3 linked regions of the Stegostoma tigrinum genome follow. The protein of the gene in region 2 purifies or fractionates together with the protein of the main gene of each other region. This does not show direct contact. Links are inferred from orthologs where the notes say so. Each region holds a gene or a part of one and is shown on either strand. Other genes may lie near its edges.

Evidence for each region. Proteins that work in one complex are often made in the same cells at the same time.
Region 1: the proteins of wdr5 (region 2) and ruvbl1 purify together in Homo sapiens (affinity purification with mass spectrometry; 3 studies listed by BioGRID and IntAct, with this or other methods). This does not show direct contact. The link is inferred for Stegostoma tigrinum from reciprocal best matches to the Homo sapiens genes WDR5 and RUVBL1.
Region 3: the proteins of wdr5 (region 2) and yap1 purify together in Homo sapiens (affinity purification with mass spectrometry; 3 studies listed by BioGRID, with this or other methods). This does not show direct contact. The link is inferred for Stegostoma tigrinum from reciprocal best matches to the Homo sapiens genes WDR5 and YAP1.

The regions. Positions count from the first base shown.
Region 1 is NC_081364.1:5,187,456-5,194,395, reverse strand, and holds the start of ruvbl1 (ruvB-like 1), read right to left. Parts: upstream 3,025-6,940; 5' UTR 2,902-3,024; coding exon 2,761-2,901; intron 1-2,760. UniProt on the Homo sapiens protein: Possesses single-stranded DNA-stimulated ATPase and ATP-dependent DNA helicase (3' to 5') activity; hexamerization is thought to be critical for ATP hydrolysis and adjacent subunits in the ring-like structure contribute to the ATPase activity.
Region 2 is NC_081382.1:45,448,688-45,456,343, forward strand, and holds the start of wdr5 (WD repeat-containing protein 5), read right to left. Parts: upstream 3,024-7,656; 5' UTR 2,907-3,023; exon of another isoform or gene 1,592-2,906; intron 1-1,591. Other genes in the region: putative uncharacterized protein BRD3OS, read right to left, coding at 4,268-4,606.
Region 3 is NC_081359.1:1,795,091-1,802,760, reverse strand, and holds the start of yap1 (transcriptional coactivator YAP1), read right to left. Parts: upstream 3,025-7,670; 5' UTR 2,760-3,024; coding exon 2,230-2,759; intron 1-2,229. UniProt on the Homo sapiens protein: Transcriptional regulator with dual roles as a coactivator and corepressor. Critical downstream regulatory target in the Hippo signaling pathway, crucial for organ size control and tumor suppression by restricting proliferation and promoting apoptosis.

The DNA of each region.
Region 1 (6,940 bases), on a different chromosome or scaffold from region 2:
CGAAAGGAATGATAATCAAAGTCAATTCTCCACTCACATTCATGATACATTAACTCATGCTAAACTTGAGAGTTGTCAAACTTTACAGTTCATACACGAATTACAATTAATTTTACGCAATTAATGTCGCTTTTTAAATACAGATAAAGCTGAACAATTAATAAATACCTTTAGATAATTAAAGATGTTCTCAGCAAGCTAAAATGGAAAATGAAATGTCTGGAAACATCGTTGATTAAAATGTTGAAGAGGTACAGACAGTCATCCAAAGGCTAACACAGAGGTGGCCTTTCCATTAGAAGAACAGAATGACTGAATCAAACAAAGTAGAAAAGTCTAAAACTGCATCTGCAATGAGTGGTGCGCAGGTTTACTCAACCAAGGAAGGAGCAATGATATTAGTGGGGGAGGGGTGGGAAGTCGGGGGGGGGAAGAGTTGGGGTGGGAGGTTGGGGAGAGAGTGGGGGGTGATTAAGAGTAGGAATAGGGGAAGAGTGAGCAGATGGGGGGAGTGGGAGGTAGCGATAGAGGTAGGGGAAGAGAGGGCAGATGGAAGGAGTGAGGGTGGGAATTGAGGAGACGGGCATGGGGAGGGGTGATTGAAGAGGGGGGAAAGGGGAGGAGGGGGGATCCTGGGGGTGGGGAAAAGGAAAGGGTGAAAATCAGGGAACATTTAGAGAAAGGAGAGTCACTGGACATGATCTATTTGGATTTCCAAAAAGCCTTTGATAAGGTGCCAAACAGGAGGCTCCTAAATAAGACCCATGGCACAAGGACCATGGATAGAGGATTGGTTGAGAGGGAGTAAACAGACCATGGGGTTGAAGGATTTGGGGTAACAAAGCACAGAACTGGATGAACACAGCAGCCAAGCAGCATTTTGGGGATGAAGGGGTCTTTTTCAGGATGGTGACTAGTGAGTTCTGCAGCAGGCTATGGGACCACAACCATTCACGTTGTACAGCAACAATCTGGATAAAGGAACTGAATGTACTGTTGCTAAGTTTCCAGGTGACACAAAAATAGGTGGAAGAACAACTAACGTCAAGGAAGTGGGGAGGCTGCAGGAGGACTTGGGGCAGAGTGGGCAAAGAAGTGGCAGGTGGAATACAATGTGGGGAAGTGTGAGGTTATGTACTTAGCAAGAAAAGTAGAGGCATAGGCAATATTTTCTAACTGGGGAAAGGCTTCAGAAACCTGAAGCACAACGGGACTTGCAAGTCCTAGTTTAGGATTCTCTGAAAGTTAACATGTAGGCTCAGTTAGCAGATAGGAAAGTAAATGCAATATTCATATACATTTCAACAGGGCTAGGATACAAGGGCAGAAATGTTAATTTACAACATTTAAAGAACACTTGGATAGATATATGAGCAGTAACGGTTTACAGGGGTATGGGCCAAACGCTGGGAAATGTGACCGTTAGGATATCTGGTCAGCATAGATGAGTCAGACAGAAGGGTCTGTTTCCACGCCGTACATTTCCAGGACTCTATGTAATGCTGAGGCGGAACAAGACTCTGGTCAGACCACATTTGGAATACTGTGAGCAGTTCGGGGGAGGCAAGGGCCTAGTGGTATTATCGCTGGACTCTTAATCCAGAGACCCAGGTATCATCCTGGGGACCTAGGTTTGAATCCTGCCACAGCGGATGGTTGAATTCGAATTCAATAAATATGTGGAGTTAAAAATCTAATGATGACCGTGAATCCATTGTGGAATGTTGGAAAAACCCATCTGGTTCACTAATATCCTGTAGGGAAGAAAACTGCCATCCTTGCCTGGTCTGGCCTACATGTGACACCAGACCCACAGCAACGTGGCTGACTCTTAACTGCCCTCTGGTCAATAAGTGCTGGCCAAGCCAGCGATGCCATCATCCTGTAAATGAATAAAGAATTAAGTCTGGGGCCCCCTACCTACACAAGTACGTGCTGGCATTGGAGAAGTCTAGTGGAGGTTTACAAGAATAATAAACAAATAAACTGCAGATGCTGGAAATTAGAAATTGCCAAAAAAAACACTCAGCAAATCTGGCAGCATCTGTGGAGAGAAGGCAGAGTTAAGATCCTTAGCGCTCTGAAGGACGGTTGCTGGACCTGAATCATTTACACTGCTTTCTCTCCATTGATACTGCTGAACCTGTTGAGTTTTTCCAGCAATTTCTGATTTGGTTCACAAGAATAATCTTAAGGGTGAAGATTTTGTCCTGTGACAAGTGCTTGAGGACACTGGGTCTGTACTAGATGGAATTTAGAAGAATGAGGAGATTGACCTGATTGAAATTTACAGAATACTGAGATGCCTGGATTTGGAGAACAGATTTCTATTAGTAGAAAAGACTAAGGACTAAGGGCACAACCTCAGGGTGAAAGGGTGACCCTTTAGAACTGGGATATGAGGGAATTTTTTCAAAGGGTGGTGAATCTGTGGATCACATTATTGCAGAAGCCTCCGGAGGCAAAGTCATTAAGAATATTTAAGACAGAGATGGATAGTTTCTTGATTAGTAAGGGGGATCAAGGGTCACAGGGAGGAGACAGCAAAGTATGATTGAGAAACATATCAGCCATGATCGAAAGGTGGAGCAGATTCGATGGGCGGAATGGCCTAATTGTGCTATGATTTCTAGAACATAGAACTGTATTCCATAAGTGACAGGAGCACAATTAGGCCCTTCAGCCCATCAAGACTTAGTCTTGTGGAATGGAGATGCCCTGCTTTCTGTGATCCCCAGGCCCGAGCCGGTCCTCACCCACCTCCCTGGCGTTCTCCTGGCCAACCAGCCCGGCGGCCGCCACCTTGGCCTGGCCGTTCTCGTCTAAACCGAGCCCCTTCACATGGCTGTGGCTGGCGATCCGCTGGGTCTTGGTCGTGCTCTTGACTTCTTCGATCTTCATGGTGAACTGTGAATGTGCGGCCTTAGCGCAGGCCTCGGCCTCTTCCTCACCTGAAGCCCGCGGCGCGTGTTACCAAGAGGCCAGAGGAAACATCGCTCTACCGACCTCGATGGAGGACAGCAACGCCCAGCCCTTCACCGATTGGATACGAAGCACGTCAATCAGAATATCCCCTCATCCTACTGGCCAATAAACCAACCATCATTGCAACACCGAATCAGCAAGCTCAGTGGGCGGTAACCTCCTGCCCGTCGTTAAGGGGCGGACCGCCGCAGCCGCCGACACGAGGGTCATCTCGAACTATTGGCTGTCCTTTGGGCATTCCCAATTCCGATTGGATAGCATATCTGTCAATCACTAGGTCTTCGGCCTGAATTTTGTTACCAATAGTTCACCTCATGTTCAAACTTTAGTGAAAATGTTTTGTACTGAAAAAGAATTCTGTTTTTTTTAAAAAACAATCACTATTTCAATGTTAGAGGAAGAACTTTTTACCCAGATATTTTGAAATTCACATTTCTAATTTTAAGATTTTTCACCTGAGCACAATTTTTAATGATGCTTTTAGATGATAATATTAAACATTCCTTTGAGTTTAACAAACCGGGATGTAAAAGTAACTATTTAAAATATCACTTAGACTCTATTACATTATCAATGCAGCTGTTAAGGGTGGTGTAAGTTTCAGTTAATGATTAGGCAATTAAAGGAAATTAACTCATTTTTACATGGATACAAGATAATAAAATGTGAGGCTGGATGAACACAGCAGGCCAAGCAGCATCTCAGGAGCACAAAAGCTGACGTTTCGGGCCTAGACCCTTCATCAGAGAGGGGGATGGGGGGAGGGAACTGGAATAAATAGGGAGAGAGGGGGAGGCGGACCGAAGATGGAGAGCAAAGAAGATAGGTGGAGAGGGTGTAGGTGGGGAGGTAGGGAGGGGATAGGTCAGTCCAGGGAAGACGGACAGGTCAAGGAGGTGGGATGAGGTTAGTAGGTAGATGGGGGTGCGGCTTGGGGTGGGAGGAAGGGATGGGTGAGAGGAAGAACCGGTTAGGGAGGCAGAGACAGGTTGGACTGGTTTTAGGATGCAGTGGGTGGGGGGGAAGAGCTGGGCTGGTTGTGTGGTGCAGTGGGGGGAGGGGATGAACTGGGCTGGTTTAGGGATGCAGTGGGGGAAGGGGAGATTTTGAAACTGGTGAAGTCCACATTGATACCATATGGCTGCAGGGTTCCCAGGCGGAATATGAGTTGCTGTTCCTGCAACCTTCGGGTGGCATCATTGTGGCAGTGCAGGAGGCCCATGATGGACATGTCATCAAGAGAATGGGAGGGGGAGTGGAAATGGTTTGCGACTGGGAGGTGCAGTTGTTTGTTGCGAACTGACCTGCCAGTCGCAAACCATTTCCACTCCCCCTCCCATTCTCTTGATGACATGTCCATCATGGGCCTCCTGCACTGCCACAATGATGCCACCCGAAGGTTGCAGGAACAGCAACTCATATTCCGCCTGGGAACCCTGCAGCCATATGGTATCAATGTGGACTTCACCAGTTTCAAAATCTCCCCTTCCCCCACTGCATCCCTAAACCAGCCCAGTTCATCCCCTCCCCCCACTGCACCACACAACCAGCCCAGCTCTTCCCCCCCACCCACTGCATCCCAAAACCAGTCCAACCTGTCTCTGCCTCCCTAACCGGTTCTTCCTCTCACCCATCCCTTCCTCCCACCCCCAGCCGCACCCCCAGCTACCTACTAACCTCATCCCACCTCCTTGACCTGTCCGTCTTCCCTGGACTGACCTATCCCCTCCCTACCTCCCCACCTACACCCTCTCCACCTATCTTCTTTGCTCTCCATCTTCGGTCCGCCTCCCCCTCTCTCCCTATTTATTCCAGTTCCCTCCCCCCATCCCCCTCTCTGATGAAGGGTCTAGGCCCGAAACGTCAGCTTTTGTGCTCCTGAGATGCTGCTTGGCCTGCTGTGTTCATCCAGCCTCACATTTTATTATCTTGGAATCTCCAGCATCTGCAGTTCCCATTATCTCCTTTACATGGATACAGTGGGGTTTGATTGCTCGCTGAAGGACAGACATAGACATGATGCCAAATGTATTTTTCTGATCTTCAGGGGAAATCTGTGCAAAGTGAAACTTTGAAGCGTGGCTATGCTTTGCAGAAGCAGATCAGAAATGTGCCTGCTATTATAAAAGTATTCAATGATAAGACTCGCTGTGGAATGTGGTTCTGAAGAAGGGCAAATCTTGTAGAGCTAGTCCGAGTGGGCTGTATAGCCTGTTTCTGTGTCGTAAATCCCTACAAAATCCTCATTTCATTATGCAGATGTGAAGTTCCAGAAGTAAATAACACAATGTTGAGGATGAGCTGCAGGTTGGGTCAGCAGTCAATCTTTGAGAAAGGATGTTAATATATTCGGTTTGAGTACTGAATATATTTGCAACATTTTCCTGTTTTATTTTAATTTTGAATTTGTTGTCATTTATTGGATTTGTATAATACCTGTATTTTAGGGTTTAAGTTATGAGGCATGATTACACACATTTAGGATGTCAAAGGGTGATCTGATTGAAGCCTTCAAGATAGTAACAGGAAAAGACAGGGGAGGTAAAGCTAAGGAAATTTGGCATGTCCATAATGGCTGTTACCAATTTTTATCGATGCACCAAATAAAGCAGCCCATCTGGATGCGTCACAATTTGGTATGTCAGCTGCTTTGCCCAAGATCGCAAGAAACTACAAGGAGTTCTGAATGCAACCCAGTCCATCATGGAAACTAGCACTCTTTCCATTAACTCTGTCTAGACTTCTTGCTGGCTTGGGAAAGCAGCTAACATGATCAAAGACCTCTTTCATCTCTATTATAATATCTTCCACCCTCTTCCATTTGGCAGACTGTACGAAAGTTTGAAAACACATACCAACAGATTTAAGAACAGCTTCTTCCCTGATGTTATCAGACATATGAATGGACCTCCCATATATCAGAGTTGAGCTTTCTCTGCTTCTTCTCTGTAGCTGTATACTATATTTTGTATTATGTTCTACTACCCTGATGTACATACACAATTTATGATTTGTCTGGTTAGCATACTGTATGTCAATACATGTGACAATGATAAATCAAATCAACACATAAAGAAAAACTATTTCCACTGATTGGGGATTCTAGAACTAGGGATATATTCTGAGAATTAGGGTCAGACAATTCATGAGTGATGTTAGGAAGCACTTCTATACTCAAAGGGTGGTAGAGGTTTGGAATTCTCTTCCACAAATGATATTTGATACTTGATCAATTATTAATTTTAAGTCTTGGATTGATCAATTTTTGTTGAACAAAGTTATTAAGGGACATGGGCCAAAGGCAGGCATATTGAGTTAAACAACAAATCAGCCATGGTCTTATCTAACGGCAGATCAAGCTTGAGGGGTTCATATGACTGTCCAGGATGCCCAGTCCTATGGAGGGAGCTTCCCACGAGGAGCTCGAACAGTTCATTCAATTCACCAACACCTTCCATCCCAACCTTAAGTTCACCTGGATCATCTCTGATACTTCTCTCTCTTTCCTGGGCCTCTCTGTTTCCATCTCTGGCAACGACCTGGAAACCGATATCCACGTCAAGCCCAACATCTCCCATAGCTACCTATAATACACCTCCTCCCACCCAGCTTCCTGCAAAAATGGCATCCCCCATTCCCAATCCCTTCGCCTCAGCTGCAAAAAAGCATTTCTGAAGAAGGATCTAGACACGAAACATCAGCCTTCCTGCTCCTCTGATGCTGCTTGGCCTGCTGTGTTCATCCAGCTCTACACCTTGGTATTTCAAAAAGGCTTCCTGATTTCAGTCCAAAATGGCCCAGCTGAGATTTTAAATTATATCTTCTTGTTCTTGATTTTCCATAAGGAATTATATCACCGATCTACCTTATTGAATCTTATTAAAATGTTAAACATCTCTATCTGATCATTCTTCAATCTTATTCATCCAGGGAAAGGCAAACCAAGTTCATATAA
Region 2 (7,656 bases):
AATGGAAGTAAAGATAAAATACAAAAGGAAGTGAAGGTGGAATAGCAAGTCAGGACAGGGCTTAGGTGCTGTGTACAGAAGAGTATCATCCCTGTGATGCCTCAAGCTTGATGTAATTGTGAATATTTACAAAAACAAGGGTTAGGCTACAGTTGTGTGTGCAGTTCTGTTCACCACATTATTGGAAGAATGTGATTGTGCCGGAGAAGGTTTAGAGGCATTTCACCAGGATGTTGCCTGTGATGAAAAATCTCAGTTATGAGAGACTGGATAGGCTAGGTTTGTTTTCCACGGAGCTGAGAAGGCTGAGGGGAGGTCCGATTGAGGAACGAAAAACTTGAGAGGCATAAACTGGATAGATCATGAGAATCTTTTTCCCCTTGGCAGATGCGTCTAAGACCAGAGGGCGTAAAAGTGGTTTAGAAGATATGAGAAAAATGTTTTTCATGTAAGGGGTGTGGAAAATATGGATGTGCTACCTAATTGGATGGTGGAGGCAGGTACTTGCAACATTTAAGGGGCATCTAAATGAGATCTTAAAATACCAGGGCACAGTAGGTTGTGGGCCAAGTGCAGATAAATGTGTCATTTGGTGTTTACTAGTCAGAATAGATAGTGTTCTGGAGTAGCCATTTCATTTCCAGGCCTCATACATTTGGATGCCTATTCATCAAGACACGGTGGCTCAGTGGTTAGCACTGCAGCCTCACAGCGCCAGGACTCGGGTTCAGTTCCAGCCTCGGGCGACCGTCTGTGTGGAGTTTCCACATTCTCCCTGTGTTTGCGTGGGTTTCGTCTGGGTGCTCCGGTTTCCTCCCACAGTCCAAAGATGTGCAAGCTAGGTGGATCAGCCGTGCTAAATTGTCGGTAGTGTTCAGGGGTGTGTGGGTTATAGGGGAATGGGTCTGGGTGGAATGCTTCAAAGGGCGGTGTGGACTTGTTGAGCTGAAGGGCCTGTTTCCACACTGTAGGGAACTGAATCTAATCTAATCATTCCTAATTACAAATGAAAAGAGAAAGTGTCCAATGTGTACAGATTTTAGAAGAGGTCATAGTAAGAAGGATAGCAAGACTCTACAGAGAGTTATTGGGATTTATACAATCAGGAGTTTTATTTGCTGGCACTCTTACTGTTTGACCCAAGAAGTTGAAGTTATCTGCCTGTGTGTGGGTTGGAGTGGCTCAGAATTATTGAAGCTTTTTGAAAGAGAAACTGGTAAAGAAAAGCTCCAGGGAGCCAGATAGCGCAAAATATCACAATCAAGAGATCAGAATGTCTTTTTACACAGGAACTGTTATCTCATGGGATACCACATCAGAAAAAAATGTTGCAGTAGAAAGCACGATAACTTTCCATATGAAAGATAAACATGTAAAAAGGCTTGATGAGCAGAACAAGGTATAACGAACAAGGCTGCCACAAGCATAATGGGCCAAGTAGTCTCACAGTCTACAGTTCTTGTACCCAGCGTCAAGTAGTCTCACAGTCTACAGTTCTTGTACCCAGCGTCAAGTAGTCTCACAGTCTACAGTTCTTGTACCCAGCCTGACCCTTTTTCTTTTTTAATTAATTCATGGAATTCTGACATCATTGAGTAAGCCACCATTTATTGCCCAGAGGGTAATTAAGAGATTGCTGAGAGTCTGGCCATGTCGGACAGAGTAGTAAGGACACTAGATTTCCATCCTTAAAGGCATTACTGAACCAGATGGATTTCTGAAACAATTGACAGTCACCTTTAGACTGTTTTTTTATTCCGGATTTTTACTGAATTCTGTTTATAACCATCTGCCATGCTGGGATTGAACACAGGTCCTCAGAGCATTAGTCTAGTGACATGAAAACTGCCTCCTCAAATTCAGCTATCTGTCCTGTAGTCACAGTACCATTGGTAAGGATCGTAAAATCAATAATTCTGTGATTGTTTTACCAAGGGAGTCAAGAGAGTAGACTTCAAGGTTAAATATTTTGAGTCAAATGACCTTTCTTCAGAATCTTCTTCACAGCACAGGACTCAAAACATTAACTCTGCTTTCCATCCACAAATACTCCAAACCTGCCAAATTTCTCCAGCAATTTTTGTTTTTGTTTTGTATCTTCAGCATCTTAGACTTCAAGATTTTTCTACTTCAGGTTGACCAGAAACAGAGATCATTGATATAAGACTATCACTAATAATTCCAAAAGGGAATTCAGGAGAAACCTCTCCACCCAGAGAGAATGTGATTCACTATTGCAGGGAGTCATTGTAATGAATAAGATGTATACAAGGCCAAGGTAGATAAACACATAAGGGAGAAATAAATAAAAGGTTAATCTAAATGAACAGGAGTGGGACGAAGCATAGGGGAAGCAGAAACATTGGTGGAGATGAGACAACTTGTATCTATGCTGTAAATAAACAATGCTGTATTGTCACCCTTAAGCCTATTGGATGTCACCTGCTGACATTAAGCTCCCAGAATCAGCTAAATATTATCCAACATGCACAATCCTGGGTTTACGGTAGTGCTGGGAGAAAAAGGTTGTCACAAAAAGAACTGCATTCCAACAGAAACTCCAATATACATTTGTACAGCACCTAGTCATAGCAAAAAAAAATCATGTGCTTCATAGGAACATCATATACTCCATTTACACTTCTTGTTGCTTTGGAAAGGTAGCCAACGTCAAAGATCCCTCCAGCCTGGCTATAATTTCTTCTAACCTTTTCTGTCAGGCAGAATGTACAAAAGCTTAAACATGTGTAACATCAGGTTCAACAGCAGCTTCTTCCCTGCTGTTATTAGACTTTTGAAGGGATGTCACAAATTTAATGTTGATCTCACTTTTTGTGCTCCTCTGCAGTTTTAACATTGTATTGCTCATTTTGTTCTATCAACTTATGAACTTCATATGTACTTACTGCTTGTACTCAGGTGTACAGTATGCAATCAACTTCAGGCCGACCAGATATCCGAAAATAACCTTGGCCCATTTTCCTCTAAATCCTTCTTATCCATATACCCATTTAGATGCCTTTTGAATTTTGTAATTGTACCAGCCTCTACCATGTCCTCTGGCAGCTCATTCCATACACGTAACACCCTTTCAAGTTTTGCAACATCTTTCCTGTAACAGATACACAAAAACAGAGCTTTTCACTGAAGAGATAGTAAGAACTGCCGATGCTGGAGCCAAAGATAACACCATGTGGAGCTGGGGGAACACAGGCCAGGCAGCATCAGAGGAGCAGGAAAACTGACGTTTCAGGTTGGGACCTTTCTCCAGAAAATGTTCTGTATTTTTCCAGCTCCATACTGTGTTATCACTTTTCACTGCACCTAGGTATATTTGACGATAATAAATCAAATTTGATAGAGCATGTTAAGTTATTAGGTAGGTTATAAGTTGCTTAAAGGAGGGACAGAGAGCTGCAGAGACAAAGGTTTCAACCCAGAGCACAAGCAGCCGAAGCTATTTGGTGGAATTATTTTTTTAAAAAAATCACATGCTCAAGAAGCTGGAAATCATTCACAGCACAAAATATTTGTGAGGGGTATGTCAGTGAAAAGTGCTGTATGAATAAAATTGTCAATTAAAAACAAGCCTTGCTCAGTAGGGAGTAATGTTAACACAATTAGAATGGCTTTGAATACTGTAATTCCACTCTAACACAAAACTTCTATCACTTTTTTTACACAGTTTATTCTCTACAGCGCAATGTAATCTCATCACCTGAGTGGCCAGCCCACATCTGGAAAATGGGTCAATCTCATAATCCAGTTCTGATTCTCCCAGATGGGTTTCTACTACGGATTTGTTCTTATGCACAGTCTGAAACACCCAGCTATTCCAGCTCAGGCATTGATCCATAAATAAAATCAGTTTATAAATAACAACACTATTGCAGGGAGGATGAATACAGAGAGTGATAATCTGCATAGATCCCGTCTCCAAACAGATTTATGCGAGGTATTAATCCAGGAAAATCTGTAAATACTACGGATGTACACTGTCATTTCCCATATTGGTCCAGATGTGTCGTCTTGGTGTTAATCTGGTTGCAGAGCTACTGTCGGTCATAAATACTGCAGCCGCTAATGATAGTTGGTGTTACTCCAGCCTTGAAATTTGGACTCGAAAAGTTAGGTTGCTCTCACTCCATGGATGCTGCCTGACCCACTGTGATCTTCAGTAGTTGTTCCGGTACTGACTGGAATGGCTTCTCCAGTTGTTACTGGGTTTGCTACTCTGTCCCGGTTTTGTCCTGAATCCGGATCCAGTTCACATTAATGAGCAAATACGGGAACGGCCTGGATTTGGAACCGGGCCTGTGCCGGGGCAGGACCCCGGGCTTAGTTTGTTCCTGTCCCGGACCAGGATAGGCTGATTGCCGAACTGCCGGTACCACATGCTGTGGCTGCGGCCCAGGAAGCTGTCGGGTCCGGGGCCCGGGCCTGAGCCCAGTGTCCGCCGCTCCAGCTGTAACTGCTGCTGCCTCCAGATCAGGAGCGAAGTGTCTCGGTACCGGAGCCGGGCGTAGCTTTCAGACACGGCCTTCTCGGCCAGCAGCGTCCGCCCGCGGGAGGCGGGGGACCCGGACCTGGAGCCGGCCCCATTCATCCCTCAGGCCCGGACGGGACATCCATCCGAGGGAAGGCATAGCTCCCTCGGCCCCGCCCCCCGGGAAACCATGGCAACCGGCTTCCCGCCCCCCCCGGGAAACCATGGCAACCGGCTTCCCGCCCCTGACAACAACGGCGGCCCAATAACGGTTCTGAGGAAGGGGGTCACTGGGCTCGAATCGTTAACCTCTCTCTCTGCAGAGATGCTGCCAGACCCGCTGAGCCTCTCCAGCAATTCGTGTTTTTGTCTCAGATTTCCCCCACACTCGCAGCTCTTCATTCCATTCGGAGCGAACTGCATTTAGATTGCGCCTAAAATTACCAGAGACAGTCGAGCTGTCTTAAAACTGCGGGACAAATTCGCAGGAAAATGACAAAAGGAGACAACACGATTGTCCAGAATATCGACCGGGGCAGTAATAGTGTGAGGGGCAGAGACTGGCGATAATTTCTAAAAGTGATGGAAGTTTCCGGATCAGTTCGCCTTGATGAGGAGGGAGGCAGAGCTGGGTCTGGATCAGGAGGATGAGAACCGAAAGGATCAGGAAATTTGAAGGTAACAGATTGTTATGGCGCAGAAAGGAGGTAATAAAACATTGTGTCTCCAACACTCAGCAAACAAGCTTCATGACTTTGTGCCATTCTCCTGCCCTTTCCCCATTACCCCATTTAAATAGTAAACAAACACCTTCTTGAATGCCTGATTGAACCTACCTGCCCCAACTTTTCATAAAATCGTAAGGTGATGGTAGAAAAGAACAGGGAACATTCAGAATAGACATAATTCCAGGATAGCCAATTTCAACGAGGTGAGAATCAACTGACTCAGCAAGACCAAAATCACAGACTGGCTGACCCAGTAAAATTGTTCCAGGATAATAGGTTACTTAGACTTTCAGAAAGAGGAAATTACGGCAAACAATCGTGAGCCTGGGCATGACAAAAGGAATTGTGAGTAAACTGAAGCCAAAAAAAACACATTCACATGACCCATATCAAATGGAGATCTATCTGCAAATAAATAATAAATGCATGGTAAAAGTACTGAGTTGAACAATTTTGGGGCTTGAGCATCTCTCCCATGTTCTTACCCCAACTCCCATACACCAGGCCTTTTCATGATACAAACCAAACCACGGTCAGCCATTAATGGCCCCCCTTATTAGCTATTCATTCTCCCACACTGACCTTTACCTCCGTTATCTGCCCAACTGTTTTTGCGTCTCTCTGGGCTCCATCTCCACCTATTGTTTACTCCTCCCTTCTTCCCACACCCCATCTTCAGCATATATACCAATCTTTCCCTAGGTACAATCAGTTCTGGACATGAGTGACTGGATCTGAAACGTTAACTGCTTTCTCTCCACAGAGTGGGACTGCATAGTGACCAAAAATAAGTATATACATGGAGGCAAAGCATTTGGCTAAGCTACCAATAGAGCAGAGATAATGGGAACTGCAGATGCTGGAGAATTCCAAGATAATAAAATGTGAGGCTGGATGAACACAGCAGGCCAAGCAGCATCTCAGGAGCACAAAAGCTGACGTTTCGGGCCTAGACCCTTCATCAGAGAGGGGGATGGGGAGAGGGAACTGGAATAAATAGGGAGAGAGGGGGAGGCGGACCGAAGATGGAGAGTAAAGAAGATTGGTGGAGAGGGTGTAGGTGGGGAGGTAGGGAGGGGATAGGTCAGTCCAGGGAAGACGGACAGGTCAAGGAGGTGGGATGAGGTTAGTAGGTAGCTGGGGGTGCGGCTTGGGGTAGGAGGAAGGGATGGGTGAGAGGAAGAACAGGTTAGGGAGGCAGAGACAGGTTGGACTGGTTTTGGGATGCAGTGGGTGGGGGGGAAGAGCTGGGCTGGTTGTGTGGTGCAGTGGGGGGAGGGGACGAACTGGGCTGGTTTAGGGATGCAGTAGGGGAAGGGGAGATTTTGAAACTGGTGAAGTCCACATTGATACCATATGGCTGCAGGGTTCCCAGGTGAGTTGCTGTTCCTGCAACCTTCGGGTGGCATCATTGTGGCACTGCAGGAGGCCCATGATGGACATGTCATCTAAAGAATGGGAGGGGGAGTGGAAATGGTTTGCGACTGGGAGGTGCAGTTGTTTGTTGCGAACTGAGCGGAGGTATTCTGCAAAGCGGTCCCCAAGCCTCCGCTTGGTTTCCCCAATGTAGAGGAAGCCGCACCGGGTACAGTGGATGCAGTATACCACATTGGCAGATGTGCAGGTGAACCTCTGCTTGATGTGGAATGTCATCTTGGGGCCTGGGATGGGGGTGAGGGAGGAGGTGTGGGGACAGGTGTAGCATTTCCTGCGGTTGCAGGGGAAGGTGCCGGGTGTGGTGGGGTTGGAGGGCAGTGTGGAGCGAACGAGGGAGTCACGGAGAGAGTGGTCTCTCCGGAAAGCTGACAGGGGAGGGGATGGAAAAATGTCTTGGGTGGTGGGGTCGGATTGTAAATGGCGGAAGTGTCGGAGGATAATGCGTTGTATCCGGAGGTTGGTAGGGTGGTGTGTGAGAACGAGGGGGATCCTCTTGGGGCGGTTGTGGCGGGGGCGGGGTGTGAGGGATGTGTTGCGGGAAATACGGCAGACGCGGTCAAGGGCGTTCTCGATCACTGTGGGGGGAAAGTTGCGGTCCTTAAAGAACTTGGACATCTGGGATGTGCGGGAGTGGAATGTCTTATCGTGGGAGCAGATGCGGCGGAGGCGGAGGAATTGGGAATAGGGGATGGAATTTTTGCAGGAGAGTGGGTGGGAGGAGGTGTATTCTAGGTAGCTGTGGGAGTCGGTGGGCTTGAAATGGACATCAGTTACAAGCTGGTTGCCTGAGATGGAGACTGAGAGGTCCAGGAAGGTGAGGGATGTGCTGGAGATTGCCCAGGTGAACTGAAGGTTGGGGTGGAAGGTGTTGGTGAAGTGGATGAACTGTTCGAGCTCCTCTGGGGAGCAAGAGGCGGCGCCGATACAGTCATCAATGTACCGGAGGAAGAGGTGGGGTTTGGGGCCTGTGTAGGTGCGGAAGAGGGACTGTTCCACGTAACCTAC
Region 3 (7,670 bases), on a different chromosome or scaffold from region 2:
TCAAAGTTTGAAAACATGTACCAACAGATTCAAGCACAGCTTCAATACTTTTCACTGTATCTTGATACATGACAATAATAAGTCAAGTTAAATATTTAGACTTGGAGTGGTTGGTGCATCGAGATGCTGAGAAGATTTGTTTTAAGATGTATCTGAATTGATTAAAAGACATGACTGTAGAGAATTGTAAACAATGTGACGGCTAGCAAGAAGGGCAAAACCTAGTGCAACAGTTCGAAGTAAACCCGACTTGCAAAAACTCAATAATACATTGAGCTATGTATACCCGCAAACTTGCACACTTTACAACTCATTAACCTGTTGCAGTCAGGCCTGATTGGAATGGCAGATCAGCGGTAAATGTTACCGTAACAATTAAAAATTGCCATTTAGGGTAACCATTTGAGACCATTCAGTTGTAATTAAACACCAGCTACAAGGTTGTTTGTCTGTGATGAGGTACTTAATGTTATCGAAGACATGGTCACTCATTTTACATTACTAGCATCTGCAGTATTTGCTTCTGATTGCGTTGTAATTTAGTGGCCGTATATTATTTCAGGAACGTCACAGGTGCTACGTAAATGCAGAGTTATTAACTGATCTTTAAATAATGAGATTGAACTTTTAGTCTTTGATGTGATGGATTTTTAATTTTCCCACAATTCTATCCAGAAGTGAGATATCATGGCACAAGAAATATTACTGTTCATGATAATGGAATAGTGTAGGTTAGATGGGCTTCAGATTGGTTTCACAGATCGGCGCCACATCGACGGCCGAAGGGCCTGTACTTCACCGGGCTCCTCCGGGGACTATTAACCCCTCCCCCCGCGAGGCGGGAGAAGGGTTACAAAGTGCATAAACTTTACAAACAGGTTTTGTCCCGACTTCCCACGTTACTCTTTTGCTCAAAGAAACATCCCGGTCAACATGCCGTTGCTTCAATAACTGACTCTAGCCGTCTGCAAGGGAACAAACGTTGGACCCACTGCAGTGACTCTTGCCAGACATGTGGACTTTTGCACAGTCGGACCACGACAGAGTACTATTGTTCCCAAAGTAATAGGACACTCTGAAATGGATACTGCTCGCTGCCTAGCCTCGCCGCGGGGAGGCGGGGGGGGGGTGAAACTTTGTGCAAATTTCAGCTTCCCTCAAATCGGATCAAACGGAAAACTATTTCCACAAATGTGTGTTCGGATCGCACTGCTTTTATTTATTCTTTCAAAACCATAACATCACACGTCTTTCTCAAAAAAAATCAACTGTTAAACCATCTCTCTGCGTAAAGATGAATTTACTTTGTTTTTACAATACACAAACGAAACGAAACTTTAAAACATGAACGGTATTTTGTGGGATTGAAATCTTGGAATGAGCTAGTGGAATACGAAATCAACGAAACTCAAACATTGTAAAAGTTGAAAGTCCGGGTAAGTGCATGGAACGGGTGTCGCCAAATACAAAGCTGGTCAAATACAAAGTGCATCCAGTAACCCACTCATTCCAGCGATGGTGGCAACTAAATATTTAAATTTAACATCACCTCCACATTCAAATGAATTAACTGCTCAAGGACAACTGTCTCAGTGAATGGATTTTATTTTAAGTTTTAAGGACGGCCCCCGTTCACCATGAAACACTCGGGATTGCAGAAGGCGGGCGTGAACTTTGCCCACCGCATTGCAAGCAGGCTTCTGCACTCTCTCAGGTCTCCCTTCAAACTTTCAAAGTTCAGGCGCCTGTCACCACGGGAAATGAGCAGCTTTATAACCAAGCCACAACAAAACCAGCTCCTTTTCACCACATTCCGATACCAGGATCGACGATGCTGCAGTTCAAAGATTTCGGTTCCTGTCACATTCAGCAGTTCGGATTTGAATCAAATCCTGTCACTACTACACACATGCCTGGGCGAGAGTTACAACATAGTAATTTCTTTTAGGCATTTGGGACGTAAAGTTACACTGGAAATAGTTTCACCCAGCAACATGGCACTCAAAGTGAGAATGATGTTGGCTGAACTTACACTCCTAAACTTCAAACACAATCCTGAGGACCAAGGGCTGATTATCCCACCGTTGCAATTTGATCCGCTGGCCTTTTTCCCAAATTAAATTGGAAACAAACACATTGCACCCCCCCCCCCCCAATCCCTGGGACAGGGTTTGTTTTTTTAAAAAGGGGAGCGGGGGGAGGTGAGAACATAAACTGGGAATCACTTACTTTAAGTAGTATCGCTGGCCCGAGGGGGTTTTCGCCATTTCCCAGCCCGGAGGTAGAGGTACATCGTCGGGAATCTCATAGGAAGCCTGGCGGAGGTGAGCGGAGGCCGGGGAGGAGCCGCTTCCCTGGGACACTGCAGCAGCGGCGGGCGAGGCCGAGCCCGAAGAGCCGGAGGACCCCGAGGCGGGGGGAGCGGCGGCGGTAGCGGCGGCGCTGAGGAGGGAGGCCGGCGACGAGTGAGCCCTCACATGCTGGGGTTGCAGCGGCGGAGCATTCGGCCCGTCTGTGCTAGCCTGGCGGGAGTGGCTCTTGGGCTCGGGCTGTTTGAAGAACGAGTCGGGAAGTTTGCGGAGCCGCATCGGGACAGACTGCGGCACGTTCGAGTTCTTGGGGTTCATCACGGCGTTGAAGAGAGCCTCCAGGTCGGTCTCCGAGTCCCCCCGGACATGCACGATCTGGTGGCCGGCCCGAGGCACCGCCGCCCCCGGCCCCGTCCCGGTTCCCTGCTGCTGCTGCTGACTCGGATCCATGGGCCAAACCGGCCTGTCCCTGTACTGCCGCGTCCCGGTGCCACCCGCCTGGTGCCCTCCCTCAGTCAGCCAGCCAGCCCCCTCACTCCCTACCGGAGGTTTCTCTCAGGCCGGTGATAACGGCAGGTTTTTCCAGCCCCACATCGACGCGCTCCACGAGTGGAACCTTCTGGAACTCTCCGCCCGCCCGGTGAACCCGAGCCCGCTCGCGCTCTCTCCCTCAGAGCCGTGTGTGGCGCGCGCACTCCCTTTTTTTTACCTCCACCCCCCCCCCACCCGCGGGGAAAGTTTGCAGCGACTTTCACAACTTTTCCTGCTGCGCACGTGACCGCTCACGTCACGTGGGGCGGAGTCCATTCCCGGGCCCCTGGCGGGGGGTGGGGGAGAATTGTGAGTGTAATGTTTAACTTAGATTGGGTTTCACCTCAAACCCAGCCGCGGTGGTACAGTTTGTACGGTACCGACCTCAGTGATTTCACCTCTCCGCCCCCAATCCCTGCCTTCTTCTGTCTCTCCCTCTTCTCCCTCTCTCTTCCCTCCCCCCACTTTCCCCATCTCTCTCTCCCCAGCCTCCCTGTCTCCCTCCCCGCTGTCATCTGTGATCTTCACTGCTTCCAGCCGCCTCACAGGGCGATCCCATCACGTTTGCCACATGAAGGGGCGAACTTACACTCTACTCCATTTGGGAAGTTGCTGTCTGTACTGGCGGTTTCCGTGCTATCATAAGGGACGGTGTATTTAAAACGGGACTGAAAAGGCAGAGTGAAGACTGCACTGGGACGGCATTGTGGCTCAGTGGCTAGCACTGCTGTTTCACAGCGCCTGGGACCGGGATTTGATTCTGGACTTGTTGGGCCAAATGGCCTCTTTGCAATGTAGGGATTCTGATGATCCTGCTCTGTGCCTTGTTACCCATTACAAACCAGAAAGCACCTGAATTCCAGGCCCTCAATAGGAAAGGAACCCCGCAGCAATGAATTCAGGGTACAGTCAGTAAAAGATACATTGCAATATTTGAAATCAGGCTGCAAAAAGAAAAAAAACCTTATATTTTCTCCCTAAAATCTTCTCTCATTGCAATAAGAAAGGTAATTAAAACCGCTCAATGCCCAATCGCTGAGGAATAATTTAGAAATATTGATTAGAATAAGTGTGAAAATTGGTCCGAACAAAAGAACAGAAATGTATTATTTTTATAATAAACGAGTAAGTATTTGTTCTGGTCAAACATCATCGACTTGAAACATTAACTTTGGTTCTGTCCCTAGATACTGCCGGATTTGCTGAGTATTTCCTGTATTTTCTGTCCGTCTTTCAAATGTTTCAGATCTTGTGAAGAATTTGTGGTTCGTTGTTCATGATGCTTTGGTCAGGTCACGGTTTTACCTGTCTCCCTATCTTTTAACTCACCGGCTCGACACGAGGTAGTTAAATATCGTTGCACGAGTCAGGACAACAATTTCACAGAAAATGATAGAATCGCTCAGAAAAAACATGAGTTGCAGGTAACATGCGAGAAAGCGTCCCATGATGTAAGTGCATAAACTCATAAACGTACAGATTTTTCCAAAGTTTTAACAGTGTAAACGTAAACTGTGGTTTTGTTATTATTCTGAACACCGTACCGCACAATATTTGAGTTTGAGGAAGGGAAAGTTTTCATCACATTGTTTAACGGCTGAAGTTCTCCACCCTTTCCCTGAATTGTATCGCATCTCAAGCCATAAAACAAAGTAATTTTATTAAGGAAGAGTCTGCAAACGTACTCTTTCCGAGCTTTCTTAAATCCTTGTAGACAGTAATCATTTTGGTAGCTAATGGCGGTTCCCCTGAAGATATGTTTAACCGGCCCGACTTCCCAGACCACACACATGGCAGATGTGTTTTCTGTAATCTTTTAGTTGGAGCTGGTGAATACAAGGCAATATATCAGGGAAAATCTATCACCGTGGGGACTGCTCTCAATTGTTACCGTTTCATTTCACGTTTGTATATTACAGATATGACGAAGTGTTTCAAAAAGTGGATTTGATTTATTTTGGATGCGTGATGACAACATTTGGTACATTTTAAAGTTTTCGCTTGATGGGACAAGGCCATATTGGTAGTGGTGAGATCGACCAAAAGTGGGAAAAAAAATCACTCCCTGTACCCCTCCCCTCCAGACAACAACGGATACGGAATGTACCCATTTCTAAATGGAATTATTTACCACCTTTCTTTAAAATAGAGCAAAATTAGTATGTGTTATAGCCCCATAACTTATCCTGGTCAAAAATGGTATAACGGGAACACGGTTTCTGTCGGAAGAGGCAAGCATTAATATTGTTGCACCAGATCGTTGGATGTTGCCGAATCATGTTTTAAAAATATTTTAATAAATGCTTTCCACCAATATTATTTCATGAAGCTGTGTTTTCCAAAAGTCTCTTGTGATTTTATGATCATGTCCAAATAATAACCCCCTTAAATCATAGCCTGTTCCTTATGGTTACAATGAATCAGTTACTAAGGCAAAGTTATAACTCAAATTCAAAAGGATGCCGTTTTGGACCTGCAATTAAAGTGTAGGTCACATGATATCATGCATTACAGATGTGAAACAAATGATTATGGTAGAAAAACTCTCAAAAGGAACAACTACTCAAAGAAATCACAGCTATCAGGAAAAACTAAAGCAATGATTGGAATTATTCTCTACTCCCAACTTCAACTTCATAACAGATTTTTTTCACGTTTGTTTGTATTATTTATCCTTTCATGCTTTGACTGAGAAGACAAATTCCTTCAGCCAGAGAGTGGTGAGCCTATGGAATTCTCTGTCACAGCAAGTAACTGAGGTCAAAACATTGAATGTTTTCAAGAACGAATGAGATAAACTTCTTAGAGCTCAAGGGATCATGGGGTATGGAGAGAAAGTGGGAACATATACTGGGTTGGATTATCAGCCGAGACCATATTGAATGGCGAAGCAGATTCAAAGGCTGAATGGCCTACTCCTGCTCCTGTTTTCTATGGTACTATATTTAATCATCATGATCGTCCAGCATTGCTAAATTTTAACTCTCACAAATAAAGGAAAGCTTGTAAAATGATTGCAAATGCTGAATCTGCAATAAAGGACACAAAGGCTTGGAAATTTTAAGTTTCTGTATGTTACTGTTGTGTCGAATGGATGCTGAAGCCCCAAGTACATTAGGCAGGAAGCATGCTGCAGTATATTGGAGCCATGTCCTGCAGAACACATGCCTGAACTATTTAAATCATAGAATCAAAATACGGCAAAGACAATAAGGACAACCATTTGGCTCATTGATAGGAAATAGCAAGAACTGCAGCTGCTGGAGTCAGAGTTAATACAGTGTGGAGCTGGAGGAACACAGCAGGTCAGGCAGCATCAGAGGAGCAGGAAAGTTGACATTTTGGGTCGTGTCTCCATTTGACTCATTGCTCCTGGGCTGGTTCTTTTGAACAGCATGCCCTACTCATTACTGTTCACAATATTGTAAAGTTTTTTTTTCACAAGCCCCTGCACCTCTTGTCACAATCCCTAAATCTGTATCCTCCCTACAATATCAGGTAGAGCAGTTTTCCTTTGTCTATCTTTTCTAATCCTGTCATACACTTGTGTACCTCTTATCAAATTTCACCTCAATCCCTTTTGCACTGAGGGCCATAACCCCAGTTTCTCCACCTTAACTAATTCCTGGAACCATTCTGGTGATACTTCTATTTATGAAGTACAAGATTCTACATATTTTTCCAACTAATTTCCTCAAAATGCCTGCCTCCTTCAAACATTTATCTATATGAACCTTCATGCTTTTCACATTCTTATACAGTGTTTGGAATTGTAATGTTTATATTGCTTCTCTAAAAAGGCTTCTTCTCATTTCTCCCTATTAAATTCCATTTGCCAGCTGCCATGTATTTGTCTGTTCTCCTGACCTATCTGTGTCCTGTTGCAGTTTATTTGTATCTTCTTCATTGTCTTCCACATCTGCAAGTTTTGTATCATTGGCAAATATTGAAATTTTATCTTGTTACTGAGTCTTCTGCCACAGTTTTTGCTTATTTATTTTATTAAAGCATTAGTAATTTTGAACACATCAATGAAATCTCCACTTAACCTTCTTTGCTATAAAGAGAACGTCCCCAGGTTTTTCAGTCTTTCCATTTAACTTCAGGGGCGCATCCATAGAACTCAATTGAATCAGTTCTGAAGAGTCAAATTTGACTTGAATCATTAACTTTGTTTTTATCTCACCATGGATGATGCCAGATCTGCTGAGATTTTGCAGCACTTGTTGTTATTATAATAGGTCGCTTTTTTTCTATATTCTCTTGCAGGACATGGGCATCATTGGAAAGGCTGGCCTTCATCTACAATCTCTAACAATTGAATCGTTTGTTACACAATTTCAAAGAGCAGTTAAGAATTAACCATATCTCTATGTGCTTAGACCAAATCCAGAAAGGAAATTAGCTCTCCCCGGGAAGGAACTTATGACCAGAAGCCTTAAGGCTGAGGGATACAAAGGAGAGCTACAACCAAGAAATCTGGAGTGTGAAGGAAACTGCACAGATTCCAAAATAAAACAAAAGCTAGCCAAGCCCGAAAGAGGAACTCATCATGCTCTTGCGTGGTTTGGAGGTGGGTAAAGAAACTAATCTCTCTCGAGAAGTCTATTTTTCGTGTTTGACTGAAAAGTAGCTAGGACCTCTTAAGACAACATGGAAGCTTGCTAAAATTACAAAATCTGGAAAGCTATGTGAATATCTTGATGATACTAAAACTCAGTATTTTCCCAGAAATGGTTCAACCATGAGCCAAGGTGTTGTTGGTTAGTTGAAAAATAATTCAGGAAAGTGATCACATCAGGACTGTCGTGAGCTGACAGAGTAGATTTG